4 linked regions of the Elephas maximus indicus genome follow. The main gene of each other region encodes a partner of the protein of the gene in region 2 in a complex. Links are inferred from orthologs where the notes say so. Each region holds a gene or a part of one and is shown on either strand. Other genes may lie near its edges.

Region 1 (7,597 bases), on a different chromosome or scaffold from region 2:
TGGTGGATTCAAAATGCTGACCTTTTGGTTTAGCAGCTAAGCATTTAACCACTGTGCCACCAGGGTTCTACTCTGTCTTATAGGGTCGTTAGGAGTCAGCATCAACTCGGTGGCAAAGGACTTGGTTTTTTCCCCTCTGATGGCTCTCTATGTCTGCTGCCTGTGGAAGGTGTCCTGGTTGTCTAGTGCTGCTCTAACAGAAATACCACAAGTGGACAGCTTTAACAAAGAGAAATTTATTTTCTCACAGTCTAGTAGGCTAGAAGTCCTAATTCAGGGTGTCAGCTCCAGGGGAAGCCTTTCTCTCTCTGTTGGCTCTGGAGGAAGGTCCTTGTCTTCAATCTTCCCCTGGACTAAGAGCTTCTCCCTGCGGGAACCTCAGGTCCAAAGTATGTGCTCTGCTCTAGGTGCTTCTTTCTTGGTGGTATGAGGTCCCCAACTCTCTGCTTGCTTCCCTTTCCTTTTATCTCTTGTAAGATAAAATGTGGTGCAGGCCACACTCCAGGGAAACTCCCTTTACGTTGGATCAGGGATGTGACCTGAGCAATGGTGTTACATCCCACCCTAATCCTCTTTAACATAAAATTACAACCACAAAATGGAGGACAACCACACAATACTGGGAATCATGGCCTAACCAAGTTGACACACATTTTTGAGGGACACGGTTCAAGCCACAACAGAAGGTCTCCTGCATACGGCTACCCAATGAAAACTTTGTTGTGCCAAACTTCAATCTCACGGTCACATCTTCTTCCTTGATTAGTCCTAATATCCCTCGAACTTACGACACTGCCACAATACAGACTATTTACTGTTAATTCAAAGGAAAAGAACTCTACAAGAGAAAAAATCTATGTTTTTTTTACAGTTTATTTTCTTTTCTCATGGCTAGAAAAAAATCTCACATATTCCCATCTTGAAAACGGAAGCTCTTCCCAGCCTGATTCTTCATTTTGTATCCACATTGAACCTTACCATCTCCTTGCATCAGGTTAAAATGGTTAGATGTTATTTTACTTACCCACAGTTTCCATTTGCTTTCGGAGCCAAGGAATAGACATTCCTGTACCAGAGAGCATTGATTTTTCCACCTGATCAGCCTCGGCCATAGGCCTCGTCAATTCGCCACTGAAGTCACTCATACCTATTCCAAACTGGGAATACGTGCACCTTAATCCATAGGCTTTTGAGTTATACCAAAAAAAAAAAAAAAAAAAGCCATCTAATAAATATCATTTACTCAGCAGAATTCACTGTACTTCATAGTTCCTTTAAAGTAAAAAATGAATTTAATTATATCAGTAACAGCCAAAACATATGGTCCTTTTGATAAAAAAACTCAGTAACTACTATGTGCCAAGAATATACAAATATAAATGATACTGTTTAAAAAAAAAAAACCTAGTCTAGAGAAACAGAAAAGTACATAATAAAACAATATAACAAGCATGATAGTAACAGTAGTAGCACTTGCCTAAATTTTTTAAATCCTTACTATATGCCAAACCCATTGCCACTCAGTTGATTCTAACTCATAGCAGCCCTATGGGACAAAGCAGAACTGTCCCCCATAGGGTTTCCAAGGAGCAACTGCTGGATTCAAACTGCCAACCTTTTGAGTAGCAGCTGCAGCTATTAACCACTGTGCCACCAGGGCTCCTACTATATGCCAGGCATATAAATTATCTAATCTAATCCTAAATTAAATAACAGCAATCCTAAAGAGAGAATATCGGAGAAATATTTGGAGGTAGCATCAACAGTACCTAATAACTGACTGCACATGGGGAATTAGGGAGAGGTACCCTGGTGGCTTAGCGCTTAAGTACTACGGCTGCTAACCAGGAGGCTGGCAGTTCAAATCCACCAGGCACTCCTTGGTAACTATGGGGCCGTTCTACCCTGTCCTATAGGGTTGCTATGAGTTCGAATCCACTCAACACCAGTGGGGTGTTTTTTTTTTCTACCCTGAGCATCTTCAGGATCAAGTCCAAAGTCAGCCTGGCATATGATTATCTTTCCAGGTTCCTCTCTCACGGTCAGTTCTACCTTTCGCATCCCTCCTTCACACAAGCCCCCAAACTCTAGCCCTGACAAGCAGTTTGACGTTCTTCCTACTTCCTAAAAGTAGCCACTCAGTTTCTTCAACATTAAAATGGAGGAAAATAATTAGTGAAGGTAACTACGCTGCCCAATGTCACAAGAAGGATGAGGGCGACATTTCAGGAAATAGAAGTAACATCAAACAGCTTGACAGGGCTGGAGTTGGGGGTGTGGGGGTGTGGAGGAGGGCAGCGGAAGGCAGTTGGAACTGATGGTGAGAAAGGAACCTAGAAAGATAGTCACATGACAGGCTGGGTTTGGACTTGATCCTGAAGATGCTTAATTCTCCATATCCAATCAATTATTAGGTACTCTTGACACAACCAGGAAACCCTGGTGGTGTAGTGGTTAAGTGCTACAGCTGCTAACCAAAAGGCTGGCAGTTCGAATCCACCAGGTGCTCCTTAGAAACTCTACGGGGCAGTTCTATTCTGTCCTGTGGGGTCGCTATGAGTCGGAATCGACTCGACGGCAACGGGTAACGGTAAAAACGCTGCCTCAAATTTTGCCTCTTCACAATACAGCCAAATTTTGCCTCTTCACAATACAGCCACACTAAACTTTGCAAAACCTAATTCTGCAGTTAGGAACAAGGGTTTTATATAAGATCTAAATTTGAGTCCGACCACCAGCTGTATTTTAAAGGGGTCGTTACAGAAGAGCTCCCTTCTCAAATTCGCAGACCCAAAATGTTGTCCCGCAGTTATCACGGTAACTAAAGCTTTTCCACCTCCTCTCACTTGTTCTTAGAATTGAAGGTTCCAGGGTATCTGGAGAAAATATTAGAAGAGCACGGATGAACCCTAGCACAAGCGATGAACGAGGGACATCGTGCGGGACATTTACCTGTCTGCTGCTCTCGCCTCCTCTTTCGCGGAACAGCGTTGGAGAACCGGAACCGGAAGTGACGCCGGCCACCGCTTCTTGTGAGCATGCGCAAAATCGGCCGCCGGCGCTCTGGCGCCTCGTGACGCAACCCCCCCCACCTCTAACAACCACTTCGGCTGTGACGTCATCGCCGCTATTCGACCCCGGAAGTGACTGAAACCGACGCGCCCCTGGTGGCTTGTCTCCGGATGTATGTTGTTGTTACCTGCAGCCGGAGAGTGGGAAAATTTAATTGCAAATGGGGATTAGGCAACAGGAGAGCAACTGGTTGGGAGGAACAGTCAAAAATGCAGAATGTCACTTTACTCGAGTTCTTTACTCTGCGATGACCGTTCGGTTTCTGCTGGGCTTAGGTGCACTGCGCTACCGGAGGCTGGCTGCTGGCATTACAAGATAGATTGTTGCATATTCTTTACTTTCTTAAGAGCTCTTTTCTTTTTTATTAAAGTTTAAGTGTCTCTGACTACTTCACCATAATTTGAGCTAGAATCTCGTTTTTCTTCTCAACGGGGGCTGTTCTGCGTACGTGTTTAGGGCCACCTTTCATGAAGGACACTGACAAACCTATATGAAATAGGGATCGGGTTGGAAGTAAGACGGTTAAACTATGTAAAATAATAGACAGTTGAGGGGTTGTAGAGATGACGATCTGGGAAAAGCAGAGACACGTGGGAATACACTGTATGTCTCCAGTGTTTGGACAGCTGATCTGTGAAAGAAGGCTTCAACTACCTTTTCATAGCATCAGAGTACAGAACTAGCACTAACAGGTGAAAGCTAAAGGAGGGCAGCTTTAAAGTCATTCCAAGAAAGAATTTTGTTCACACCTAAGCCTGCACAAATAATGACATAGGCTCCCCCCAGGAACCTTGGGGTTTCTCCTCCCAAAAGAGTGAACCATTTGGGCAGAATCAAGATATTATAGAGGAAATTAAAGGATCTAGGAAGACCAAGGGAGAAGTGATGCCTTTGAATTATGGTGTTGGCAAAGAATACTGAATATACCATGGACTGCCAGAAGAATGAACAAACCTGTCTTGGAAGGACTGCCAGAATGTTTCTTAGAAGCAAGGATGGCGAGACTGCCTCCCATAACTTGAGCATGTTACCAGGAGGGACCAGTCCCTGGAGAAGGACATCATGCTTGGCAAAGTGGAGGGTGAGTAAAAAAGAGGAAGACCATCAATGAGATGGATTGACACAGCAGGCTGCAACAGTGGGCTGAAGCATAGTAAAGATTGTGAGGATGGGGCGGGACTGGGCAGTGTTTTGTTCTCTTGTACACAGGGTCGTTATGAGCTGGAACTGACTTGCCGGCAGCTAAGAACAACAACAGTAACACCTTATACATGGACTCCTTGAAATGCTATGAATACTTGGTTCTGTGTTGTCTTAGTAAACACTGCAATAGTTACGGACTTGCAAGAAAAGTTCCTCCTGCTGCCCCTTGTGTCATAAGTGCTTGGCCCCACATAAGCCTGTGCCCAAGCTTCCCAGGGCAGGGATGACCTAAATCACAGTGTGGTCCAGGAGGGCACACACACAAAAGAACATAGCCATTAGCCTCTAGTCTATAGCCTTGGTCAGTCTGTATTTATTCCTTTGCCGTGACATATAACATAAAATATCAATATTAACAGGAGTTTGGAAGAAGTTGATTCCAGCCCTCATGGATGACTTCGAGGGGTTCAAGACTTTAGTGGAGGAAGTAACTGCAGATATGGTGGAAATAGCAAGAGAACTAGAATTAGAAGTAGCACCTGAAGATGGACTGAATGGCTGTAATCTCATGATAAAACTTTAATGGATGAAGAGTTGCTTCTTACGATTAGCCGAGAAAGAGTTTTCTTGAGATGGGATCTACTCCTGGTGAAGATGCCACGAACATTGTTAATCACAACAAAGGATTTACAATATTACATAAACTTAGTTGATAAAGCAGTGGCAGGGTTTGAGAGGATTGACTCCGATTTTGAAAGAAGTTCTACCGTGCGTAAAATGTTATCAGACAGCATTATGTGCTACAGAGAAATCTTTTGTGAAAGGAAGAATCAGTCAATGCAGCACATTTCACGACTGTCTTATTTGAAGAAGTTGTCACAGCCACCCGGAGCAGTCAGCAGCTGTCAACATCAAGGCAAGACCCTTCACCAGCAAAAGACCCTTCACGGCTCACTGAAGGCTCAGATGACGATTAGCATTTTTTAGCAATAAAGTATTTTTTAATTAAGGTATGTATATTGTTTTTTTAGATGTAATGCTGTTGCACACTTAATAGACTACAGTATAGTGTGAACATAACTTTTACATGCACTGGGAAACCAAAAATTTTGTGCGACTTACTTTATTGCAATATTTGCTGTATTGCGGTGGTCTGGAACCCAATGCGCAATATCTCCAAGGTATGCCTGTATACATGGCTAGAAATTCATACTGTCACAAAAATGGAGAAAGAATATCTGGTTTTCCTTAAAGTTCTTCAACACCTCTCGGCCACAGTACATAAAAGAGGGAAAGTAAAGAATGACTATCATTATGTGCCCTACCTTCCTCTTGTCTTTCTCATGGTATCACTCTGGTAAAAATTTATGGACCATATTATGTCTAAGCTAATATTATAAACAAGATAAAAAAGGAATGACATGTCAAAAATGCAAACAAAATAAAATGAAGCCTGCAAAAAGCAGACAGACTCCTATCTAGAAAACATCCCAAAGAACTGAAAGGTGTTCTCACAACTGCTTTGTGCTAAAGAGCCACTGAATATGATGATGAATTACATTAAAAAACAAAAAAGCCTGCACACTGACATGTAGAGAAGAGTAGTCCCATGAGCCTTTCCTGTGCAGTCTACTGAAGAATGAGCTTCAGACAACTAAACGATTGGAGAGACATCTTCATAAATTAACTATACTATACAACAGTTAATAGCATGAATACGACTTTAAAAAATCAATGTGGCAAAAGCAATAACATAAAAACAAAAACAGATCACATAATAACATAGAGAAAAATATTATCCAACTGTTGTTTATTGCCCTCAATTCAGCTCCAACTCATGGCCACCTTAAGTATAACAAAATGAAATGTTGCCTGGCTCTGTGCCATCTACATGATCATTGATATGTTGGAGTCCATTGTTGTGGCTATTGGGTCAATCCATCCATCGAGGGTTTCCCTCATTTTAGCTAACCTTCTGCTTTATTAAATGTGATAGCTTTTTCTAGTGATTGGCCTTTCCTGATGATGTGTCCGAAGTAAACAAGATGAAATCTCACCATCTTCGCTTCTGAGGATCATTCTGGTTGTATTTCTTCTAAGACTGATCCGTTTGTTCTTCTGGAAGCCCACAGTATATTTAGTATTCTTCACCAACACCACAAATCAAACACATAAATTCTTCTGTCTTCCTTTTTCACTGTCCAGCCTTCACATGCATATGAGGTGATTGAAAAGACCATAGCTTGGATCAGGCACACCTTAGTCACCAAGTGACATCTTTGCTTTTTAAAACTTTAAAGAGGTCTTTTTAGCAGATTTACTCACTGCAATAAGTTGTTTGATTTCTTGGTCACTGCTTCTATGGGTATTGATTATTGATCCAAGTAGAATACAATCCTCACAACTTCAATTTCAAACCTTATGGATAATAACAGAACATAAAAAAACCTTATGGATAACAACAGCACATATCCAACTGTAAATTCCCTAAACTACATGGACTAGGATCCCACCCCAGGCTTACACTGGAGGAAACACTGTATTCCCAAAGATGCACTGCCAGCTTCAGTTATTGCCTTTTTAGTAGCTTAAGCCTCTATATAAAGAAGCTCAGGCTGTCCTGCTGGAGAGAGAGGCCACATGGAGCCAACAGTCAGCACCTTGGTTCCAGACAGGTCAGGGAGACCATCCCAGACATTACAGTCCAAAACAGGCGCTTCATGCTTGCAATTGCATGAGTGGGTCAGTTGACACCACGTGAAGCAGAGGTGAGCTGTTCCCATGGAACCCTGTGTAAATTCTTATTTATCTATTTTTATTAACTTTTATTGAGCTTCAAGTGAACATTTACAAATCAAGCCAGACTGTCACATATAAGTTTATATACACCTTACTCCGTACTCCCACTTGCTCTCCCCCTAATGAGTGAGCCCTTCCAGTCTCTCCTTTCGTGACAATTTTGCCACCTTCCAACTCTTTCTATCCTCCAATCCCCTCTCCAGACAGGAGATGCCAACACAGTCTCAAGTGTCCACCTGATATAATTAGCTCACTCTTCATCAGCATCTCTCTCCTACCCACTGTCCAGTCCCTTTCATGTCTGATGAGTTGTCTTCAGGAATGGTTCCTGTCCCGTGCCAACAGAAGGTTTGGGGACCATGACCGCCGGGATACCTCTAGTCTCAGTCAGACCATTAAGTCTGGTCTTTTTGTGAGAATTTGGGGCCTGCATCCCACTGATCTCCTGCTCCCTCAGGGGTTCTCTGTTGTGCTCCCTGTCACGGCAGTCATCGATTGTGGCCGGTCACCAACTAGTTCTTCTGGTCTCAGGATGATGTAGGTCTCTGGTTCATGTGGCCCTTTCTGTCTCTTGGGCTCTTAG
Region 2 (7,174 bases):
CATACCAGCAACTAGTGGGTAGAAGCCAGAGATGGTGCTAAACACGCTACAGTGCCCAGAACAGCCCCACAACTAAGACTTATTGGGTCCAAAAAATATCAATAGTGCTGATGCTGAGAAACCCTTGGACTAAAGTGTTAGCAAGGAAGGTGTTAGCAAGATCAGCTAATGTTTCAAAACTAGAAAGAGAGAGAGAGGTGCTGCTTCAGACATTAGACATCTGGGAAGTTTGAGATTCTATCTGATATCTAGGAAAGGCGCTGGGTAGAGAGCTAAATACTATATACTTACCTGGAGCCCCAGTGGCACAGTGGATAAGAGCTTGGCTGCAAACCAAAAGGTCAGCAGTTTGAATCCACCAGTCGCTTCTTGGAAACCCTTTGGGGCAGCTCTACTGTGGAGTTGGAATTGACTCGAAAGCAATGGGTTTGGTTTTTTTGGTTTTATCTGGAGTTCAAGGCAGAGGGTGGGACTCCAACGGCATAGGAGGGGCTGATAACCTCATTAGGGAGTGAAGGAAGCAAGAGAAGAGAAAAAGGCTAGGGCTGAGCCTAGAGACACTGCAGTATTCAAAGGTCAGGAAGGCAGTGGAGACTAGAAGGCAGTAGGAGAAAAACCAGGATAGAGTGCTGTTTTGTAAGAAAGTGAAGAAAGCGTTCAAGAAGGAAGGAATGGTTAACTGAATTAAATGCTGCTGAAAGGTCAAGATGGAGGTCACTTGTAAAGAGCAGTCCAAGTGGAACGGTGAGGTGGGGTGGATTGAAGGGTGTGGGGGAGGTGACAAAGGATGGGTGAGGAGACAATGAGGGTGGTTGACCCTTTAAAGATTTTTGTTGTGTTCTTTTTTTGTTGAGTTCTTTTTTGCTTTTTTTAAAGGTAAGGACCCTGGGTGGTACAAGTGGTATGAGTCCGACTACTAACCAAAATGTTGGTGGTTCAAACTCACCCAGTGGCACCTCGAAAGAAAGGCCTGGTGATCTTCCATAAAGATTACAGCCAAGAAAACCCTATGGAACTTAGTTCTACTCTTTAACACTTGGGATTGCCATGAGTCGGAATGGACTCAACAGCCGCAGGTTTACATATGCTATGGGAATGATTGCTCCTGCCATAATCCCCTGGTTCACCTGCCCTCTGGGAGTCCCTAAGTAGGAGAGTGGGGATGAAGGAGGGGCAGGAGGACACTTTTGGGAGTGGTGGATAAGTTCATTATCTTAATTGTGGTGATGGCTTCATGAGCATATATGTATGTCAGAACTTATCAACTTGTTAGGTGTCATCGAGTAGCTTCCAATTCATGGCGACTGTGGAAAGCAGGCTTAAGAGACATGTTGGGACATGTCTGGACAAGTGTGGCTGTCATCTTCAGTTCAGTCTATAATGAGGGGAGCAGGCCCAAGAGATAAAAAGACATTGTGAGCTTGACTAAGGAAGATAGTCATATCAGGATAACCAGAGAGACTGACAGACTTCATCAAGAAGAAACCCACATAATGGCATCAGACTTTATCATCATCAACCAGATGAGTTCAAAGAGCTCCAACGTGTACAAAAGAAGCAACAGAAGGAGACGACAGTGCTTGGAGCCTTCCCAGAGCCACTCAGTCATACGCTGAGAATTTAGGAAGCAGTGGGCTGCGTCACCTCGCCCGGGCTTACTCCTAAATTCAAGAGATGTTGCTCTCGGTCATACATTGAGAACTAGGCAGCAGTGGGCTGCGGCAGCTCACCTGTGCTTGCTCCTAGCTCAAGAGACGTTGAACGGAACGGTCACCAAGCAGTGGGTAGCGGCAGCTGGTTCGGGCTTACTTGCAGACCTTCCTGCTACAAGGTTCATGAGCCCACAGGGAGCTACGCATGATCCAGAGACCACCGCTAACCATTAAGACTGGAGATCATCACCAACCATTGAACGGCATCATTGAACTGCACCATCTAATTGCTGTCCTCGCTTGCCGTAAGTTTGACCTGTGTCTTTCATTTCTCCCCTCCTTTGGTTATCGGAAACCCTGGCGGTATAGTGGTTAAGGCTACAGCTGCTAACCAAAGGGTCGGCAGTTCGAATCTGCCAGGCACTCCTTGGAAACTATATGGGGCAGTTCTACCCTGTCCTATAGGGTTGCTATGAGTTGGAATCGACTCAATAGCACTGGGTCTGGTTTTTTGGTTTTTGGTGATCTGAGATCTCTGGCGTCTGGGATAGCCAAGAACCTACTAATGTGTGTTTGTGCTTAATGAATTGAAGAAATTAATGTAAGACCTAAAAAAAACTGTTTAATAAAGACATTGTGGAAAGACACAAATAGTGTGGAGTAGTCTATAAGACTCTTCCTCACCACAGCGACCCTATCTACAACAGAACAAAACGCTGCCCAGTGCTGCCTGGTCCTGCACCATCATCACAATCATTGTTATACTTGAGCCCGCTGTTGCAGCCACTGTGTCAATCATCTCACTGAGGGTCTTCCTCTTTTTCACTGACCCGCTACTTTACCAAGCATGTCCTCCGGGGACTGATCCCTCCTGATAACATGTCTGATATACGTGAGATGTAGTCTCACCATCCTTGCTTCTAAGGAGCAACTACCCTGTTGTCGAGTCAATTCCGACTCATACTGACCCTACAGGACAGAATAGAACTGCCCCACAGAGTTCCCAAGGAGCGCCTGGTGGATTCAAACTGCCGACCTTCTGGTTGGCAGTCAGTGCTCTTAACCACTACACCACCAGGGTTTCCAAAGAGCAACTAGTACACTTTAAATATGTGCAGTTTATTGCATGGCATTATACTTCAAAAACATTTTTTTTAAGGCACCCACAAAACGATGAAGTTGAAAGACATCTGCTAGCATTCCCTGATAGATCCATATTCTGGTGAGATAAATGATTCATACAGATTCAAAAGATCTTAAGGCTGGAAGTCCCCTTGGTGGCCCCCTCCCCACTTTTTCCCTGTAAGGGTTCCCTGCCCACTCCACCCTACCCCACCCTACCCCACCCCACCCCAGCACTCTGGTCCAGGTGATGGTGATACAGATAGGATTAACTGTGCTCGTGGAACAAAAGAGCTGCTAAAAGATTACCAGCTAGAAGTTGGGTAAACAGGAACCACACCCTGTCAACATGAGAAAAGGCTGAAACGACCCAGGAATTACTATCTCCTTCTTAGTGTTTTTTCTAGTCCCTTCCCCCTTTACAGCCTTCCACATGCACAGAACAAAGTGTGACGGCTGTTTAACCTTCCTTATCCCTCCAAAGATGGTGATGTAGTGCCAAAGATCAGTGTGCTTGCCCTATATCCCATAGTAAGTGATGCCAAGGGCTGCCGAGAGGAATCCATCTTGAATATCAGCAGGTACCATTTGGTTTCCAGATGTGCACAGGCAACCTAAGCGCAATCTAATTAACATGCACAGTCATTCTGGGAAGTACCCAACCCTTGAAAGAAGCCCACTAAATATTCATTACTCTATTGTCTCCACCAAACCCATACAAGACCTTGATTGCCTTTTCGAGTCAGTCTGTTAGAGAGGCTTAGATCCTCACTGACTCCCTTTGCTTGACTCAAGCAAAATAAAGCTTGCTGAAAATAAAGTTTGTCTTTCACCTGTATTCTTACTCGGGAAAAGACAAGGACCCTTTGTGTCAGATTGGCAATTGGTAACAGCGGGAGAGGATTGCATGGGCCACCACTGCTCACCGGCCCCCACTGATGGGCCTTCACGACCTAATTTGGGCAGGGAGAGCAGTCAGCCTGCGGAACCACTAATACCTGCCTTTTGGATGAAGCCAAGACACCAACTGGGTGTCGCCCCTGGGTCATAATAATCAGCATCGGTTCAAAAAGCAGACAGGGGAATAGAAGGGAATATTTGAAGACTGCTCTTCTAAGTCCCAATTTGACTGAGGGAGCGAATGAGAGCCAGAGGGTTCCCAGGCCTAATTGGGCGTGGAGCAATTGTCCACCTCCTTGTCTTTAGCAGGGAAGACATGGGTGGGGCAGCGGAAGAGAGGAGAAGAGAAGGGGCGGTCAGGCCACGCTCTAGCTCTGTGAGTTTTAAACCGGCCCCTTCACTCTGCGGTTTTAGTTCCAAGTCGACCCAGCAGAGGTAGAGCCGAGAGCGGACGGAGCACGGAAGAACTACATTTCCCAGCAGGCCGCGGGAGCCGGCCATTCTTCCTGGCGCCCGCAGAGCGGCCCCTGGAGCTCGGCGTGCAGGCGGACGGACACATGGAGCCCGGCGGCCGGTGGCAGAACCTGCCTAGCGGGCCTAGCCTAAAGCACCTGACCGACCCCGCTTACGCGATCCCACGGGAACAGCAAAAGCCAGCGTTGCAGGAGCTGACGCGGGCCCATGTTGAGTCCTTCAACTACGCGGTGCGAGAAGGACTCAGCCATGCAGTGCAGGTGAGCGCGGCGTCCCCCTCGCCGCTTGCCGTTACGAGGTGAAGCTGGAGGTGGGCTGAGAGAAGGGCCGGCGGGCTGGGAGGGAGCGAGGCGCTGCGGCTGGAAGGCGGCGGGCCTGGAGCGCGGGGTGCGGTGGGGTGCGGCGGGTGCGGGTGGGTGCGGGTGGGGCGTGGCGGATGCGGATGGGTGCGTGAGGCGTCCAGCCTGCTGCCGGGGGTCGAGGGCGGCGGGCCGGGCCGGGCCGGGCCGGGCCGGGCCAGCGGTTCCGGAGAAATGGCCGCGAGGTCACCATGTAATCACAAATATGAGCCCCTTGATCGGTTCCCCAGGGAACGCCAGAGAGCAAAACAATGTAAAACGGACGCAGTCCTTTGCCTCGTAAGACCTGGAGCCGAGTCGAGTAGGGAAAAGTGCATTTGTGATTGCTGGGTTTATATGGGATTGCAGACTGTGGTGTTTTGAAAGATTGTGGGTGTTGTGAGAGTGAGGAAGTGACCCGTCTGGGCTTCCCAGCCGTTCTCAACGCTAACTTCTTGGTGTTCCGCGAAGACTTACTTCCAAAGGTTCCGAAACTAGTCGTAGACAGACTGTGAAGTCAGTATACGGTCGTTCTTCAGGTTTTCTCTCAGAGCTTTAAAGAGAAACTACGAGGCACCTGCTCGGATTTGGCAGGTGTTGAGAAAGATGTAAATGAGCCATAAAGGCAAGATTTCTTCTGACCTGTCCAAGAAAATGGGACGTACTTTTGAGTAGAAAGTGTAGTAATAGCTCTCTTAGGTAGCATAGGTGTAACCAGAGTTCAGGTGAGGATGTTGCGGGAAGGTCTCACTGAATTACCATCCCAGTGTCTCCAGGTCCTAGGCCACATAAGAAGAAGGTGGACATGAAAGCCCTCGGGGCCAATACTCTTAACTGCCCTGGCAAGGGGTAGTGTAAGGAACTGTGGCCAGCATAGAAGGTACAGCAAATCTAGGCGTTTGAGGTTAAAGGAAGAGGAGAATGCTTCCCTCCAGGGACGTGAAGGAGCAGAGCCAGCTACTCGGGGAACACTGAACAGGTTGGACTTGTGTTGTCAGGAAAAGGATGGAGAGAATGTGGAGGTCTCTGATTGCCAGTTTCTGATACTTGAACTCTGTTCTGCAAATAATGTGGGAGCCATTAAGGTTTCTTTGAAGATTAAGGCTCCTTAGCCTTTTTGAGGAAGACAATGGGAAATATTTCTGTCGTGCCTGAACTCTTACTGTATCTTGTCTGTGAGAAAATTTTATATATATATATATAGTTAACAATTAGCAGTCTGTGGGTGGCACACATGGTTAAGCGCTCAACTACTAGCCTTAAGGTTGGTGATTTGAAACCACTCAGAGCCACCTGGGAAGACAGTCCTGGCAATCTGCTTCTGAAAGGATCAAACAAACAAAACCAAACCCATTGCTAACAAGTCGATTCCAAACCCCCGTGGAGCAGTTCTATTCTGCACATGTAGGGTCGCCTGGAGTCAAAATCAACGGTTGTATCCAGCCTCTTAGAAGTGCATTCCTGACTTCTGTGAGTCAGAGAGCTGGTAATCTGTTGCGCTGTCTATTCAGCATCTCTAGAGATCGCTAGTGCAGCTGTGGCTTGAGAAAGTGAATCTTTTCTCCCTTCTTTAACAGTCCACCCTTAAGTATGAAATCTATTACAAAATTTATTTTAGAATAAAGTATTCTAAAATAACACCAGCCTTCGATAAAACTTAAAAATTTTGGAAAGTTTTCAAAATTTTTAAATAGACAACAAAAGTGTACTACTTGTATTTCCAAGTCGGCACAAGATCATTCATAATTTCAAAACAACAATTTATTGGATGATAATGAAGTTGCAGAGATTATTGTGAGTACAGCCCAAGGTAACTAGTAAGAGCATGGTAACTTGAGTTAATCTCTGGAAATGCATGTGTTTATGCCTTAAACTCTTTACCTTAGAAAATTTTAGAAATGAGAATACACAAACACACATGCTACTAGCTGCCAGAACGCTGACATCATTACACTTCACGTAGCCTCTGGAAAACTCCACTGTGCTTACATGAGAGAATGCGTGTGAAAAAGACAAATAATGTCCTAGGATTACTATGCAAATAGCTTGGACCTCATGGGCACCCTGAAAGGGTCAGAATACATTTTGAAATCTACTGGTATAAAGAATTAAAAAAAAAAACTCATAGCAACCCTGTAGGACAGAGTAGAACTGCCCCATGGGGTTTTCAAGGAGCAGTTGATGGCAGTGGGTTAATGGGTATCTTAATTATTCTTGTATATCCATGTCTAGAGTAGCATCTCCTACTTGGTGACTGGTAAATTGAACTCACTCGAGGGTGGAGGACCCCCTTTGTATTCTTGGCTCAGTTTTCAGCATTTTCATTATTCTGACATTAAGGCCAGGAAGTTGTTCATACTTAATAGAAAAAACTAAAAGTAAAAGTCATAAACTGAGTCTTAACCTGAACTTGTCTCTGCCAAGTGGATAGAATAAATGGATTGTTGTGTGCTGTCAGGTCGATTCTGACTCATAGCCTCCCTATATGACAGGGTAGAACTGCCCCGTTGGGTTTTCTAGGCTGTAATCTTTACGGAAACAGATTGCCAGGCCTTTTCTCCCCCAGAGAAGCTGGTGATTCAAACTGCCAACCTTTCAGTTACCAGCCGAGCGCTTAACCATTACACCACCAGGGCTTCTTATAAATGGATTAAACCCACTGCCGCTGAGTCGATTCTGACTCATCGG
Region 3 (7,733 bases), on a different chromosome or scaffold from region 2:
CGCCCGCCCTCCACCCTCCTTCCCCCACCCCGGCCAAAAAAAAAAAAAAAAAAACTCCTCCTCCTCTGTCTGCCCGCCCCGGGGAGGCCCCAGGCTGAAGGGCGGGGGAGGAGGAAGGGCGGGTAAAGGGCGCGCGCGGCCGCGGGAGCGGGCACGCGCCCCAGTCTCCTCCTCCCGCCTCCCCCCCGGCCGGTTCCCCCCGCCTCCGCAACCCGGCGGGGACCCGGACGCAGCGCAGCCGCCGCCAGCCCCGGAGCGCAGCGGCCGCAACGCCCCCGGGGACCGGATCCGGATTCCGCCGCCCCCCCTCCTGGGGTCCCGCCGCTGTCCTCGCCCGCCCGGGCAGGCGAGCAGCCGGAGAGAAGCGGCCTAGCCTGCCCCCCGCCCCCGAGCCACCCACCCCGGCCAGAAGCGCTGCCACCGCCCAGCCACCCGACGCGCACGGAGGAGCCCAGCGCAGAGGCGCGACCGCGGCGGGAACCGCCGCCTCCTCCCCCGAGCCTGCGGCCCAGCCCCGCCGGCGCCCCCGCCCCGGCCTCCGGGGAGCCGAGCCAAGGAGAGGGCGGGAGGACGGCGGCCGGGAGGCGGGGGCGCAGCGCTCACCGGCCCAGCCGCCCCCTCCGGCGGCCGGCGAGAACTGCGCCTGCCGGCCCGGAGAAGCGCGGGCTTCTCCGCCCGCGGCCCGGGCTCGGCTCGGGCCTCGCTTCCTGTCCTCCCCTCCTTCTGCTCTCGGCGTCCTCCCCAGTGCCCTGGTCTGCTCTCGCCCAGTCCTCTGTCCGGAGGTCGCCCCGGGTCCCCGCCGGACGTCCCCCGCGCCCGCGGCTCGCTCCCCGGCCCCGACCCTGGCGCGCGTCCTCGGCCCGCTTCGGTTACCCGGCGCAGCGCGGCCTCCAGGCTTCCCGCTCCCGCGGCTCCCTCCCCGGCTCTGAGCAGCGGCGCCTCCCCCGCTCGGCCGGGCACAGCCGCAGCTCCCTCCCGCGGCGGCAGCGGCTCCTCCTCCGGGCGCGGCGGCGGCGCTGGGGCGGCGGCTGCTGCTGCTGTGGCGGCGGCGGCTGTGGCTGCTGCCTGCTGCTCCTCGCGGCGAAAAGCACAAAGCACAGCGCCCTCCGCCTGCAGGCAGCCCGCCCGCCGCCCGCCCGCCGCCCGCCCGCCGGCCCCGGCCTCAGCTCGCACACCCCCCGCCGCCGCCGCAGCCTCCGCCGCCGGAGCGGGGAGGAGGAGGGAGAAGGGAGGAGGAGGAGCGGGAGGGGGCGGGCGAAGCGGGGCAGCGAGCGCGTCCTTCCCCGTAGAGCGCACACCGACCCCCGGGGAGCGAGCGCCAGCCCGCCCGCCTCGCCGGCTCCGCTCCCTCCCACAGCCTGCCCGGGCGGGCTCCGCGGGGGGCAGCTGGGAGGAGGGGCGGGAGCTGGGGGGACCCGGGCGGCCGAGGCGGAGGGAAGGAAGGAGGGGAGGGGGGTGGCGGCGGCGGCGGCTACTGCTGCCGCCGGGGAGGGGGGGCCGGGCAGGGAGACACGCAGCCGCCCGGATGGCGGCGGGGCTCGGAGCCGAGGCGGGCGGGCGGGCGGGCGCCGAGAGCGACCTCGCCAGACTCGCGGGGAAACTAGCAGGCTCAGCAGGCGCGGAAGGGAGGGCGCGAGGCGCGCCGCGGTGAGAGTGCCCGGAGGGCCCCCCGGCGGCCAGGGAGGCTCGGGGTGCCCGTGGCCCCGCTCCGGAGCGCTCCCGCCAATCCTCCCAGCGCCAACCCGGGCTCCCAAGCCAGCTCTCACCCGCTTCCGTCTCCCGGAGCGGGCGATCAGCGCCCACCCTTATCCCCGGAGCGTGGCCGCCGGCTTGGGACGCACGCACGGCGATCGCGGCGCCTGGCTCCGGCACTCGCCTACCTCGCGGTCCCCACGCTGCCGAACGACACACACGAAACTTAAAAAAAGCCCACAAAACACCCTCCCCGCAAAAAAATCCCCTTTTGGTTCTTACACCCCGGAAACGGCGAGGGGGCGACGGGCTCCGGCGGAGGAACCGCTCTGGGAGCCGGTTCAATCCAGCCCGGCATGGCTTCCCCAGGCCTGCTCCGGCGCATGGAGATTGGCAGCCGCTCGCGGCAACCCTTCTCCCCCGAAATCCCGCGGCGCCAGGGCTCACTCACCGGGCGTGTGGGTGCGAGCGCCGACCGGGGGCACCTGGGGGCGCGGCGGGCCGAGGAGCGGAGCCGCAGCTCCGCTGCAGCCGACGCTGGGGCAGCGAGTCGCCAGACAAAGCCCGCGATGGCGAAGCGGAGCGACGGCTAATGGCGAGCCCCACGCGCCGCGCTCCGCCCGCCCCGCTCCGCCCGCCCGCCCGCCTCGGCGCAGCGCAGCGCCGCTCGGAGCGCTTGCCCGTCAGAGCCGCCTCGGCGCCGCCGCCTCCCGGGCCACCCCGGCCTCGCCTGGCCCCTCCGCCTCCTCGGGCGGCTCAGCCTCACCCCTTCCCTCCCACCGCGCTGGGGGCTGCACGAAAATAGAAAAAGAAAAATGCTTTTTTTTTTTTTGCTTTTTTTTTTTTTTTTTCCAGGGCGGGCGTGCGGAGACTGTTCCGGGTCTTTCTGCCCCCAGCTCGCACTCACCTGCGGAGCCGCCGGGAGGACTGGGGTGGGGGCGCGTGGGGCTGGAGCCGGCGAGCGCGGTTTGAAAGCTAGCCAAGCTCTGCAGCGCCCGACCCGGGCGTGTACGCCGCCGCCAGTCCCCGCAGAGAAATCGTCCTCCTACCCCCGCCTCCATCGCGCTGCGTTTCTCTTCCAATCAGCCGGTCGCTTGGCGGCTCCTCCATTCTCCGGCCAAGCCCGCTGCCTAGAGCGAGCTCCACTTCTCCATCTGCTCGCCCGGCTCCTCGCTCCCCTGCCGGAGCCGGCGAGGCGGCCGGCGTAGGGCCGGAGGGGGATTTGCGAGGGAACTTGCCTGCTTCCCGCTCCCATTGCTCCCTCCCCGGCTGCCTCCTGCTTCTCTCCTGCGTCTTCCCAACTCTCCCCTGTCGCCACTGGTGTGTGTCTGAGTGTGTGCGCGGTTTTTTTTTTTTTTTTTTTTTATTGCTCTTTGCTTTTGCAACCCTGAAGCCAAAGCGAGGGGTGGGGGGGAGGGAAGCGAAGAGGGGTTGTTACAAAAAAAAGAAAAGACGCTTTTCTTAGATTTGCAACACATCGAAAAACCGGGGAAACACCCCGTGTCGTCCGATTGCTTTAAAACCCGCGAGGGCCTTCCGGGTTTTAAAGCGAGCCTCTCGTTTTCAACGTCCTCCACCTCCGCCGAGCTAGGATTCGAGGAGTCCGAGCAAAAAGTTCTCCCCCTGGGTCGTATCGAGGGGTGTCAGGATGGGAGTGGGGGAATTTTTCGAGCAGTAGCAGCCACCACTCCTACCCCGGCTTCGATCGCTGGGCCGGGGTAGAGGTAGAGAGCAAAATCCTGGCCGGCTGGCGCCGAAGGGCTTCCGGGGGGAAGTCGGAGCAGGAAGACCGCGCTTCGCGCTTCTCCCCTCGGTCTTTTCCTCCCGTCCCCTGCCAGCTCCCCCTTTAATTTTTTTTCTCTCCTTTAATCTAATTTCTTCCAACTCCACCTTTGTTGTTACCGGCGTCACTCCGGGACCAGCCAATCCCCGTCACGCAATCAGCTTGTCAAAAAGGCTTGGCCAGCCCTGGGAAAGCAGGCCGCGGGCGCTGCCCCCCCCAACCCCGGCGGCTGGGAACCGCGAGGGGATCCCGGCGCCCCGGCCTCGCCGCCGGAGCCGCAGCGGGGAAGGTCCCTCGCAGGCCGCCCGCACTCCACCCTCCTGCGGGCGGGGGATGGAAGGGCCTGGGCGCCGACCACCATCCATCCCCCACTGCCGCCGGCTGTCGTTGTCGGTCTCGGCCTTCCCTGCTCCGAGGAAGGGTTATCTGGACGCAGGGAGCCAGAAAACAGTCTGAAGAACGCCTGCTTCCCACAGGCCAGCCTAGGGGTTGTGCTTTCGCTGCACGGGCAGCGCCATCGCTCCTGGCTCCCAGTTGCCAGTGGCCCTCTCCAAAGCTGCTACTGCCACATCGACTCGCCAGTTGGGTCACCAGCCCCTTTGGATTCTCCCCTGGCACACAGCCTACTCCAGCCTCACACAGGGCCTCGATGCTGCTGTAATTCCTCTTGTCTCCTGGGAGAAACGAGATCCTCTTCCCAGGGTTTCCACATCCACATCTGCCACGTTTCACAAATAGGGAGGAAAATCCTTGTCAAGATCTGGTGTGTCCAGAGCTTTTAGTGGGCAGGGCATGCAGGGAAGGCACTTTGTTCTTGTTGTTAGGCGCCATGGAGTCAATTTCAACTCATAGCGACCCCATATGACGCAGTAGAACTGCTCCATAGAGTTTTCTTGGCTGTACTCTTTAGGGAGCCCACCGTGAAGGCTTTTCTCCCGTGGAACAGCAAGGTGGGTTAGAACTGGCAAACTTTTGGTTAACAACCAAATGCTTCACCATTGCCACACCATGCTAATGAAGCTTAAGCTTCAAGGCCTCTCCCTGGCAGAGCCGGGCCAAAAGCCCTGTACTTAATTTTGTGTTTAACATTTGGTATTTTCCTGAAAGAGCGCCTACCTCAAATTGTCTAAGCTTCAGGCTCCACAGACCCAGATCTGCCCCGGAACACAGGCAGGGCATTCATTTTGTGTCTGATCAAGACACCTCTCCTGTGCTAAAGAGTGAAGCACGGACTAACTTCTGTTTAGACTGAGAAAGAGCAAAGAGTTAGTTTGAACTCAAAAGTCCCAGCTTCACCACCCTCTTAAGAATTCCAATTTCCACATCTGCAAAATTAGACTAGCCATCCTATTTACTCTGCTAAAATTTTGTAAAACTGTAAAATAGACTACAGATGTCACTTGCCACAAAGACATTGGGAAAAACTTAGACCCCCCAAAAATTCCAACTATTTCACACACGGATTTGGAGTCCAGGTGTCCTGGGTCCTGGTCCTGAACTTCTTGGCTGGGCCAAGGGACCTTTCGGTAAAGTGCTTTGGAACAAAACAGGATAGACATGAATCATAAGAATGATTATTATTGATTTTTCGTTCCTTGGGTAGCAAAAATCATGGCTGGCACTCTTCCTACTTGGAAACCCATTGGCTTGTTTTACATCCATTGCATCTCTGATGAGGTCAGGAGTTTAGGACTTGGGCTATGGGCCAAGTCTAGGACTTGGGCTATGGGCCAGAGCTGAGAGAATTTGCCCTTGGCCCTTTTTCTTTGTCCTCTTTCCCAACCCTCCAACCCCCTCTAGTTTCTGGCATAAGCCTTGAAGCAGATCCTCAGCATTCCATGACCCAGCCCAGGCTGGTGAGGAGGCATAAGCCTTAGCTACACCTTTGCCACTTGGCCCCAGCTCTTCCCTGGTTGCCAGCATCCCAGCACTAGCCCACATAAAAACCTCGTAGTGTGTTCACAAAGTCTGGTGTTTGAGTTCCTGGTGTGCGTGAATAATTTCAGTGGCACATAGATTAACGTATTTTCGGGGTTGCATGTACTAACGTGTATTGAAATGTGTTTTATTTTTATTTAAGATAGTTGTAAAGTCTTCCCCCCTCACCTGTTTTGGAACCATTGTTCCTTTATTATTCTTTTTATTTATTTTTTTCTTTTTTAGGAAGGTATAGTTTACAGACAGTAATGAGTCGGAATCAACTTAAAGGCCATGTTTTTTTGTTTTTGGTATGCATAGTATGGAGTCCCTGAGTAGTGCAAACGGTTAGTGAGCTTGGCTACTAACCAAAAAGTTGGTGGTTCGAGTCCACCCAGAGGCACCTCAGGAGAAAAGCCTTGCAATCTATTTCTAAAAAAACAGCCATTGAAAACCCTGTGGAATACAGTTCAACTCTGACACACGTGGAGATGCTATGAGTCAGAATTGACTTGAGGGCAACTGGTGGTGGTATCTATAGTATCCATGTTACATATGTATCTACCGTGTAACTGCCACCCAGGTCAAGATATTGAACACTTATAGCACCTGCAAGCTTACTCAAAGTCAATATCCCCCTCCAGATGTCACCAATATTCTGAGCTCTATCATATAGCTAAGTTTTACCCATTTTTTAATTTCATGCACGTGGAATTATACAGTGTATACTCTTTATGGAAACCCTGGTGGCGTAGTGGTTAAGTGCTATGGCTGCTAACCAAAGGGATGGCAGTTTGAATCCGCCAGGCGCTCCTTGGAAACTCTATGGGGCACTTCTATTCTGTCCTATAGGGTCGCTATGAGTCGGAATCAACTCGAAGGCACTGGGTTTGGTTATACTCCTTTACCTCTGGCCTCTTTCACCCAACATGATGTCTGAGATCGATTTACGATATTGCATGTAGCCATAGTTCGTTCCTTTTCCTTGCTATATAGTATTCCATTGCATGAATGCACCACAATCTATCCATTCTATTTCTAATGGAATTTGGGTTGCTTCCAATTGTATGGCTATAAAGCTACCTTGAACATTCCTGTGGATATCTTTTGAGGACTATATGCATTCATTCCTCTTGGATATATTTCCAGAAGTGGAATTCCTGCATCTTTTTTCCTAAATGGTTGTAACAATTTACCCTCCACCACCAGTGTATGAGAATGCCTGGTGCTCCACATCTTCACCAACACCTAATATTGTCAGTCCTTTTTATTGTAGTCACTCTAGTGGGCATGTAGTGGTACCTCATTTTGGTTTTAATTTCTCTGGTAACTAATGATGTTGAGCACCTTTTCACATATAAAATCATCTTTTTAAATATGTTTATTTGAGTTTTAAAGCTGAGTCAGTGAAAAGAACAATAGTAAGGAAAGAATAGTATTAGTGGCTCAAAGATCTGGCAAAGATAATTAAGGTGATGTGTGAATGACTTAAGTTCAGAAAACCCTATAGCTGCACTGTCTAATAGGGTAGCCACTAGCCACATGTGGCTATTTAAGTTTAAATTAATTGAAATGAAATAGAATTGAATATTCAGTTCCTCAGTCACACTGGCCACACTTCAGGTGCTCCATAGCCATATGTGGCTAGTGGTGAACCTATGGACAATATAGATATAGAATATTCCCATCGTCAAGTAAAGGGCTATGTCTTTGTTATCTAGTGCTGCTATAACAGAAAGACCCCAAGCAGATGGCTTTAACAAAGATAAATTTATTCTCTTACAGTCTAGGAGGCTAGAAGTCGGAATTTAGGGTGCCAGCTCCAGGGAAAGGCTTTCTCTGTCGGCTCTGAGGGAAGGTCGTTGTCATCAATCTTCCCTGGTCGAAAATCTCAATGCAGGGACCCTGAGTCCAAAGGATGTGATCTTCTCCTGGCTCTTGTTTCTTGCTGGTATGAGGTCCCCTGTCTCTCTGCTTCTCTTTTATATCTCAAAAGAGACTGACTTAAGAGATGACCTAATCTTGTAGACTGAGTTCTGCCTCATTAACATAAACTGCCCCTAATCCTGCCTCATTAGTTTCACAGAAGTATGTGATGGTTAAGATTGTGAGCCTTGATTCTCAGTGTTTATATGTGATCACTCCCATGATGGAATCTGTTGTGAGTAGGGGATCAGTGGAAGGGGTGTTTCCTTGGGGGTGTGGCCTGCATCAGAATATAAGCAGATATTCTGGCTTTTTGCTGGCTGTGGATCTGCAGCTGCCTCCAGTTCGTCTGACCTCTGGTTCTTGGGACTTGAGCTATCAGCTTATTTTCCGATCTTGGGATTCCTGATCTTCA
Region 4 (7,906 bases), on a different chromosome or scaffold from region 2:
TACTGACAAAGATGGGATCAGCATGGCTGGGGACCCTGACTTGGACTGTTAGCCTCCAGAACTGTGAGAAAATAAAATTCTATTCTTTAAGGCCACCCACTTGTGGTATCTGTGTTACAGCCGCACCAGGAAAGTAAGACAGCAGGTAAATCTGGTCCCTGTTACTCCATTTTGGCCAGAAGCAGAAGTCTTATTCCAAATTTGCCTTTCATAAGCCCACTTAGCGATGGCAATATTTGTTACACGTGTTCCATCATGGCTCTGTGCAGTCTGAAGAGTGCTGGCATGTTTAGTCTGTCCAACAGCAGGTTGTCCACACATGATTATTTTGGTTCTATTGCCCTTAACGTGTGGTAATCAGAAAAGGACCTAGCACTTCCAGCGTAAAAGTAGCCTCATTTTACCAAGGTTACACAGACCAGTGTGACAATTTCTATATTAAGAGGCAGGTATGCTGGGGTTAAAAGAACACTGGAGTCAAACGACTCAGATTCAAGTCCTGGCTCAGACACATTATACTTGTGTGATTTTGGCAAACGCACTCAACCCCTGTGAGGCCTACTTGCCCCATCTATGGATAGGCATAACAGTGTATCTCACAGGTTATTACAAGGTGGAAATGATATAATGGATAAGAAAACATTTTGTAATCTGTGAAGTACTGTACAAAGGTAAAATGATAACGAAGCATAATTTCCAATACTCTCAACGGTTTTCAATTTTTCTAATGCATCCCCTGCCCCAAACCTCTACACTATCTTGGCACGTTAAAAACTCTTAAATAAGTATTAACTAATATAAAGAAATGCATCGTCTTCTAAGTCCAATTTTAATTATTTCCCCTTAAACCACAGTTTAAATCAGGAAATCAATTTTAAATGTGGCTCACCATAATTTCAAAAACTCATCTTAAGTCTAATTTACAAATTCCTTAACCTATTTGTAAGCACTTGAAGACTTTACATTCTTGGAACTGTGACATTGCATGAGTGAGAAAAATACATCAATTCTTTGGGGATTATGCTACTATTAGGTTGAAAATGTATTTTTAAAACATAAATTCAAAAATTATATCTATTACTTACTTCTGTAACATTGTGGCAAGAAGTACAATAATATTTGCCTTCATCAGTAAGACCCCAAGAGACGGCAGCACACTGAGTACAGCGTTCTTTGAACTCTTTCTAGAGGAGAGGAGGATAAAAGAGGTGTTACTCTCAAACCACATTCAATACATTGTACCTAAACCTTGTATTTCTGCTTAGAGTATTCCCTGTCATTATCACAGAATATAGATTATTTGCAAATAAGTACAATAACGGTTCAGTCTCTTGATCAGTATGGAACCACTTTAAACTATTAGGGAAAATTTTCTAAACTTGGCCGTGAGGGAAAAAAGAAGAAAAGGTGGTAGGAGTAAAATTGGAAACAAAGAGAAAAGTAAATACAACTTCCCGAAAATGCTGTAAGAAAAAAGAAGACAAAAATTAAGTATAGAGAAGACTTCAAAAACAGAAGTAGCATATCATTGGGAACTTCCTCCAGGACACTACAAACACATACCCACCACAAAGGAGCTAGGTGTTTATTAGGGTACTTCAAGTTCTGATGTATTATTCAGCAACATAATGAGTACCAGCTACGTATGTGCCAGTATTTTACTAGGTGCTGGGGAGTCGGTGAGCAAAACAGATGTGATCCCTACTTAGAGTATAACAGGCCATTGATGAGTTATAATAATTAATTTTCTTAATCTAGCATTTACAGAACAGTTATTGCACATCTACTGCGATGAAGGCGTAACAATTGTGAGGATGGTGCAGGACCAGCCAGTGTTTCCTTCTGTTGTGCACAGGGATCACCATGAGTCGGAAGCGACTCAACGGCACCTAACAACATCACCGTACTGCTTGGGTACATCCAAACCAAAAAACCAAACCCAGTGCCATCATGTCGATTCCGACTCATAGCGACCCCATAGGACAAAGTAGAACTGCTCCATAGAGTTTCCAAGAAGCGCCTGGCGGATTTGAACTGCCAACCGTTTGGTTAGCAGCCGTAGCACTTAACCACTAAGCCACCAGGGTTTCCCTTAGGCCTAATTCTCTGACACTAAATTACTTATTCCCAATGTCTTTGGTGTTTGACTTAATATCCTTTATCTAAATGTAGCCCTGGTGGCTCAGTGGTTAAGATCTCGGCTGCTGACCAAAAGGTCAGCAGTTCAAATCCACCAGCTGTCCCTTGGCAACTCCATGGGGCAGTTCTACTCTGTCCTATACAGTTGCTATGAGTCGGAATCGACTCGACGGCAACGGGTTTGGTTTGGTTTAATTCCCTCATCCTCCCGTAATACCCTTAAAAAGTTGCTGCATTTTATGTAGCAGGTCAAAAATGAACGCAAAATTTATTTTAACAACTTGATAACGTTTTCAACTGTCATGACCTTGGGGTGTTCCAAAACTAGAATTTGGAGTCACGGCACCAGGCTGTGGCAGGAGTCCCAGAGGGACCGGCCGGGGTTACCTGGGTGCATTCTGGTTCCATCCGCTGCCCCGCCCTCACCCATCCCAGCATCAGAGGGAGCTTGGGGGTGGTCCCGTCGGGCGAAGAGGAGCCAGTGGGTGGCCACCTCGCAAAACCCACAACTTCGCCCTCCTCCGTAATACACCCACATCGACAAGCACACCGCCCTCCCTTCACCCACAACCTCACCAAGCCAGACACTCCAGCCTTTTTCCAAAAACGCGCACGAACGCTCCCCGGGACTGCCGGTCAACCCCATCCCGTTTCCCCGTTCTGCATCCTTCCAATCCGCCCTCCTTCTTCCAACGGCTTCCCTCACAGCTAGTCAGCGTCCTCCAACCCCTTCTCCTCAGCCTCACTCCCCTCCTCCCCCAGCTTTCCGTAGCCTATTGGCTACAACGGCCTCCTTACCGCCTCGTCTAGGTCCATAACTGCTCCGCTCCTGCCCCTACGGCCGCCGCCCCCGCCGCAAAGGCCCGTTACCCCGGCAGCGAGCGCAGCTTCCGGGAGCCACGAGAGGAGCCCTCCGGCCGGAAACAGAACCCCCTGACATTGGATTCCGGCGCCTTCGGCCCAGGTGAAACCCCTGTTCGCTCCGGAAGGAAGGAACCCAAAGCCCCCATTTGAGAGCACCCCTTGACCTAGGCTTGGTATGAACCAGTAAGAAACTGAGCGGTGCCTACTGCTGAACTAATTCAGTCATGCTTTGTTTTGACGGCCTTTCACTCCAAGACCCACTGATTTATTCAGGCTGCCAAGGGAGGCAGTGGGGTGCCACGTTCCAGAACATGGACTCGAACCGTTTGAGTTCCACGACTGGCTTTCTCCACCTCTTACTGGCACAGGAGTGTGTACAGCGTTAGGTGCCGTCGAGTTGGTTCCAAGTCATAGCCACCCTGTGTACAACAGAACGAAACACTCTTGGGTCCTGCGCCATACTCACAATTGCTATTATGCTTCTAAAGCTCATTGTTGCAGCCACTGTGTCAATCCACCTCACCGAGGGTCTTCCTGTTTTTCGCTGACCCTCTACTTGACCAAGCATGATGTCTATCTCCAGGGACTGATCCCGCTTGGTAACATGTTCAAAGTACCCGAGACAAGTCTCACCATCCTTGCTTCTAACGAACAGTCTGGCTATACTTCTTCCAAGACGGATTTGTTCATTCTTCGGGCAGTTCATGGTATATTCAATATTACTCGCCAAAACCGTAACTGAACTGCGTCAATTCTTCTTGTCTTTCTTATTCACAGGCATCGGGATTTGGAAGAAAAGAAAGAACACAGGTTGCTGAGTCAGACCTGCGTTTCTAATCACATCTTTTCTGCTTGTTTCTCAGTTTCCTCCTCTGCAAAAATTAGATGTTGCCTGTGAATCCCTTATAACTGAGCCATAGTAAGAGCTCAATACGTTCAGCGATTATTGTTCATACATTGAACACATTTATTCCTTGATTTATTCATTCAGTTCTTTCATTCAACAGGCACTGTTTTAGGACCTGGGGATTTAGCAGTGAAGGAAAAAAACAAAAGTCCCTGCCTTCATAGATTATATTCTTGTGGGGAGAGAAAAAAATAAATAAGAAAAAAATATATGATATGTTAAAAGGTGGTGAGTGCCAAGAAGAACGATAAAGCAGGAAAGGAGAATGGGAGTGCTAAGATAGATAACTGCAGGGAGTCGACTCTGACAACTTAACGTACAACAGAAGGAAAAGCTGCTGGTCCTGCGTCATCCCTGACCCTCTACTTCACCAAACGTGATATCCCCCTCCAGCGATTGATCCCTCCCGGTGACATGTCCACACAAGTGAGTCAAACAATGTTCTGTTGTGATCCATACTGTATTCATTGGCCGGTTTTTCAGAAGTAGATCAGCAGGCCTTTCTTCCAAGTCTGTCTTAGTCTGCAAGCTCTGCTGAACCTGCCCACTATGAGTGACCCTGCTGGTATTTGAAAGACTAGTGGGATAGCTTCCATTATCACAGCAACACAGGAGCTACCATAGTACTAAAACTGACAGATAGGTAGTTTCAATTTTAAATGGGGTAGTCAAGAAAGATCTCACCGAAAAGGTAATATTTGAGACAAGGGAGGAAGAGCCATGTTGAGAACAGTGTTCCAAGGCAGAGGTAGCAGTGAGTACCAAGGCCCTGAGTCCTGAGCCTTGTGTCATGTCGTTTAAGGATCATGAAGAAGGTCAGTGAATGGCTGGATTGGTGAGCTAAAGGGAGTGTCGAAAACAATGCCTTCGTAAGGTCTTCAACTTTTATATGGAAAACTTAGGGAAGTCATTGGAGGAGTCACATGATCTGACTTATGTTTAATCACTCTGGCTGTTGTGGGAAAAATAGAGTGCTGGGGAGGAGGGCAGGGCAAAGGAAGGGGTGGAGAGAGAAGTTAGCTGACTATTGCAACAGTCCAGGTAAGATATAATAGTAGCATGAACAAGATGGAAGCAGTGGAGACAGTGAGAAGTAGACAGATTATGGACAGATAGTACTTTGAAAGTAAAACCAACAGGATATTCTGATGGCCTGGAAGTGGGCTGTGAGAGAAAGAAAAGAGGCAAGGATGACTTTAAGATTTTTGACTTTACCAGCTAGAAGGGTGGAGCCATCATCAACTGAGTTGGGATGGATTGTGGTTGCAATAGTTTGGGAGTAGGATAGGGGAGGAATAAGGAATTTGATTTTGGCAGTTTTAAGTTAGAGATGCTTATAAGACATCCAGGTAGAGTGAGAAGGCAATTGGACATAGGAGTTTAGGATTCGGAGGAAAGTTTTGGATTGTTGCTAGTTGTTGTCAAGTCAGTTCCAACTCATGGTGACCCCATGTGTCCAAAGTGGAACTGCTCCACGGTGTTTTTAAGGCTGTGACCCTTCAGAAGGAGATCACCAGGCCTGTCTTCTGAGGTGCCTCTGGGTAGGTTCGAACCACCAAACTTTCAGCTAGTAGTTGAGTACTTAACTATTTGCACCACCCAGGAACTCCTTAAGTTTTGGGTTGGAGATATACATTTGGGAGTTATTTCTGACTAAACCAAAAAAAGCAAATCTGTTGCCATCGAGTCAATTCTGACTCATGGGGACTCCGTGTGTTACAAAGTAGAACTGAGCTCCATGGGTTTTTTTTTTTTTTTTTTTTTGGGCTGTAGTCTTTACAGAAAGGGGCCTTGGTGGCACAGTGGTTGGTTAAGTGCTTAGCTGCTAACTGAAAGGTCAGTGGTTTGAACCCACCAGCCACTCTGTGGGAGAAAGATGTGGCAGTCTATTTCCATAAAAATTCAAAGCCTTGGAAACCCTATAGGGTAGTTCTGCTCTGTCATAGAGGGTTGCTATGAATCGGAATCAGCTCAATGGCAATGGGTTTTGGTTTCTGGAATCTTTACAGAAGCAGATTGCCAGGCCTTTCCTCAGCAGCCCTATTGGGCACGTTCAAACTGCCAGCCCTTCCACTGGTAGTCAAACACAAACCGTTTTCAGCACTCAAGGACCTTATCTCTGACCAGATGATATTTAAAGTTATAAGTCAACGGAGTGGCTCTTCTCTCACTTCACATTCACTTGTCAATTCATTTATTTCACAAAGATTCATTAAACACCCAGCATATGCCAAACACTCTTCCAGCTCTTAGGGAATGAAAGGTAAACAAGACAAATTCACTGCCCTCAAGAAACACCTAGTCCAGTGGGACTGACTCCTTATTTTAATATAAAAAAAGACCACCCATTGCTGTGGAGTCCATTCCAACTCTTAGCGACCCTACAGGACAGGGTAGAACTGCCCCATCAGGGTTTCCAAGGAGTGGCTGGTGGATTTGAACTGCCAACCTTTTGGTTAGCAGCTGAGCTCTTAACCACTATGCCCCAGGTCTCCTATTTTAAAGTGAAACTAGATAAATTCTCCTTTGCAGTTGCATCACCCATGTCATTCACCAAGGCTTGATTCTGTACAGCTTCAAACTCCTTCCAAAAAATGTTATCCACCTGCCAAGCATTAAGTTTTGCCATGTAAAAATTTTCAGTTGTAAGCCTCCTATTTTCAAGGCCAGCCCTGATTTAAAATGTTGAAATATTGGACTGGCTGTTTGTGGAATAGGGAGAGTGATAAATATTAAACTGAACAGAAATTAATGTATTGGTCTAGACTATAAGCTCCTTGAGATCAGGGACTTCTGTCTTTTTATTTATCGTTGTATGCCCAGGGTCTATAACATTGCTTAGCTCACATGATTTTTAATAAACCTTTGTTGAATGAATGAATGACTTTGTAAGAATTTTATGTACATGTAAAGTATTTAAATAGCCTATCTGTATTTTTAAATAATATTTTATTGTGTTCAAGGTGAAAGTTTACACAGCAAGTTAGGTTCCCATTTCTATACACATTATTCAGGGATATTGGTTACATTTTTTTACAATGTATCATCGTTCTCATTCTGGTTATACCATTTTGAGTAGTCTAGTTTCCCTGCCCCCTTAACTTCTCATCTTTGCTTTAGTGTAATTTTTCACCATTTAGTTTTTTTTTTAAAGGAGTTCATTACTCACAGGTGATGTCCTTTATTTTAGAAGTCAATCTGTTATTTAGCTAAAAGGTGACCTATAGGGTTAACTTTGGTTTAAGGATTAAAGACTATCTCAGGGTGATCGTCTCAGGAAGTCCTCTAGTGTCAACTGGTCCAGTGAATCTAGACTTTTTAAGAATTTGAGTTCTGTTCCACAATTTTCTCCAGTTCTATCAGGGTCCATCTATTGTGGCCCTGATCAGAATGATCATTACTGGTAGCCGGGCACCATCTAATTCTTCTGGTCTCATGAAAGATGAGGCCATGGTTTGTGTAGACTGCTTTGTTCTCTGAGTCTTTGGTTTCCTTTTTTCTCTTTTGTTCTAAACAAGTAGAGACCAAAAATTGTATCTTAGATGGCCACTCACAAGCTTATAGGACCCCAGACACTACTCACCACATTGGGATGTAGAGCATACACTTTATGAAGTATATTATGCCAATTAATGAATTGTCCCATGAAACTCTGGTCCTAAGCCTTCAAACCCAGAAAACCAATCTCACATGGTATTTGGTTATGTCTAGGAAGTAAAAAAAAAAAAAAATTTTTTTTTTAGGAAGTATCCGAAACTGTGGTCCCTATGTGGTTTATCATATATATAAGTATACATGCATGCACACACATACCTGTATGTACGTATGATTATAGACACATCTATCTGTGCACAAATATGTACCCATATATTCATATATGCCTATATTCACATTTGTGTATAGACAACCTATCTGGATTTGAGACTTTGGACATATAGTTGCAGAGAAATGAGTAGCACATTTTTTTCCTCACCATTCCCTAACAGGAAAACTGAC

The links.
Region 1: POLR1B (region 2) and TAF1A share a complex: the UniProt entries of both Homo sapiens proteins name them as parts of the pol I pre-initiation complex. The link is inferred for Elephas maximus indicus from reciprocal best matches to the Homo sapiens genes POLR1B and TAF1A.
Region 3: POLR1B (region 2) and UBTF share a complex: the UniProt entries of both Homo sapiens proteins name them as parts of the pol I pre-initiation complex. The link is inferred for Elephas maximus indicus from reciprocal best matches to the Homo sapiens genes POLR1B and UBTF.
Region 4: POLR1B (region 2) and TAF1B share a complex: the UniProt entries of both Homo sapiens proteins name them as parts of the pol I pre-initiation complex. The link is inferred for Elephas maximus indicus from reciprocal best matches to the Homo sapiens genes POLR1B and TAF1B.

What each region holds. Positions count from the first base shown.
Region 1 is NC_064842.1:12,224,633-12,232,229, forward strand, and holds the start of TAF1A (TATA box-binding protein-associated factor RNA polymerase I subunit A), read right to left. Parts: upstream 3,017-7,597; 5' UTR 2,953-3,016; intron 1,187-2,952; 5' UTR 1,146-1,186; coding exon 1,025-1,145; intron 1-1,024. UniProt on the Homo sapiens protein: Component of the transcription factor SL1/TIF-IB complex, which is involved in the assembly of the PIC (pre-initiation complex) during RNA polymerase I-dependent transcription.
Region 2 is NC_064835.1:41,809,164-41,816,337, forward strand, and holds the start of POLR1B (DNA-directed RNA polymerase I subunit RPA2), read left to right. Parts: upstream 1-4,162; 5' UTR 4,163-4,231; coding exon 4,232-4,408; intron 4,409-7,174. UniProt on the Homo sapiens protein: Catalytic core component of RNA polymerase I (Pol I), a DNA-dependent RNA polymerase which synthesizes ribosomal RNA precursors using the four ribonucleoside triphosphates as substrates.
Region 3 is NC_064837.1:50,744,099-50,751,831, forward strand, and holds the start of UBTF (nucleolar transcription factor 1), read right to left. Parts: upstream 3,009-7,733; 5' UTR 2,600-3,008; intron 2,234-2,599; exon of another isoform or gene 2,144-2,233; intron 1,857-2,143; exon of another isoform or gene 1,767-1,856; intron 960-1,766; exon of another isoform or gene 874-959; intron 487-873; exon of another isoform or gene 401-486; intron 1-400. UniProt on the Homo sapiens protein: Recognizes the ribosomal RNA gene promoter and activates transcription mediated by RNA polymerase I (Pol I) through cooperative interactions with the transcription factor SL1/TIF-IB complex.
Region 4 is NC_064830.1:19,313,508-19,321,413, reverse strand, and holds the start of TAF1B (TATA box-binding protein-associated factor RNA polymerase I subunit B), read right to left. Parts: upstream 3,006-7,906; 5' UTR 2,956-3,005; coding exon 2,938-2,955; intron 1,185-2,937; coding exon 1,086-1,184; intron 1-1,085. UniProt on the Homo sapiens protein: Component of RNA polymerase I core factor complex that acts as a GTF2B/TFIIB-like factor and plays a key role in multiple steps during transcription initiation such as pre-initiation complex (PIC) assembly and postpolymerase recruitment events in polymerase I (Pol I) transcription.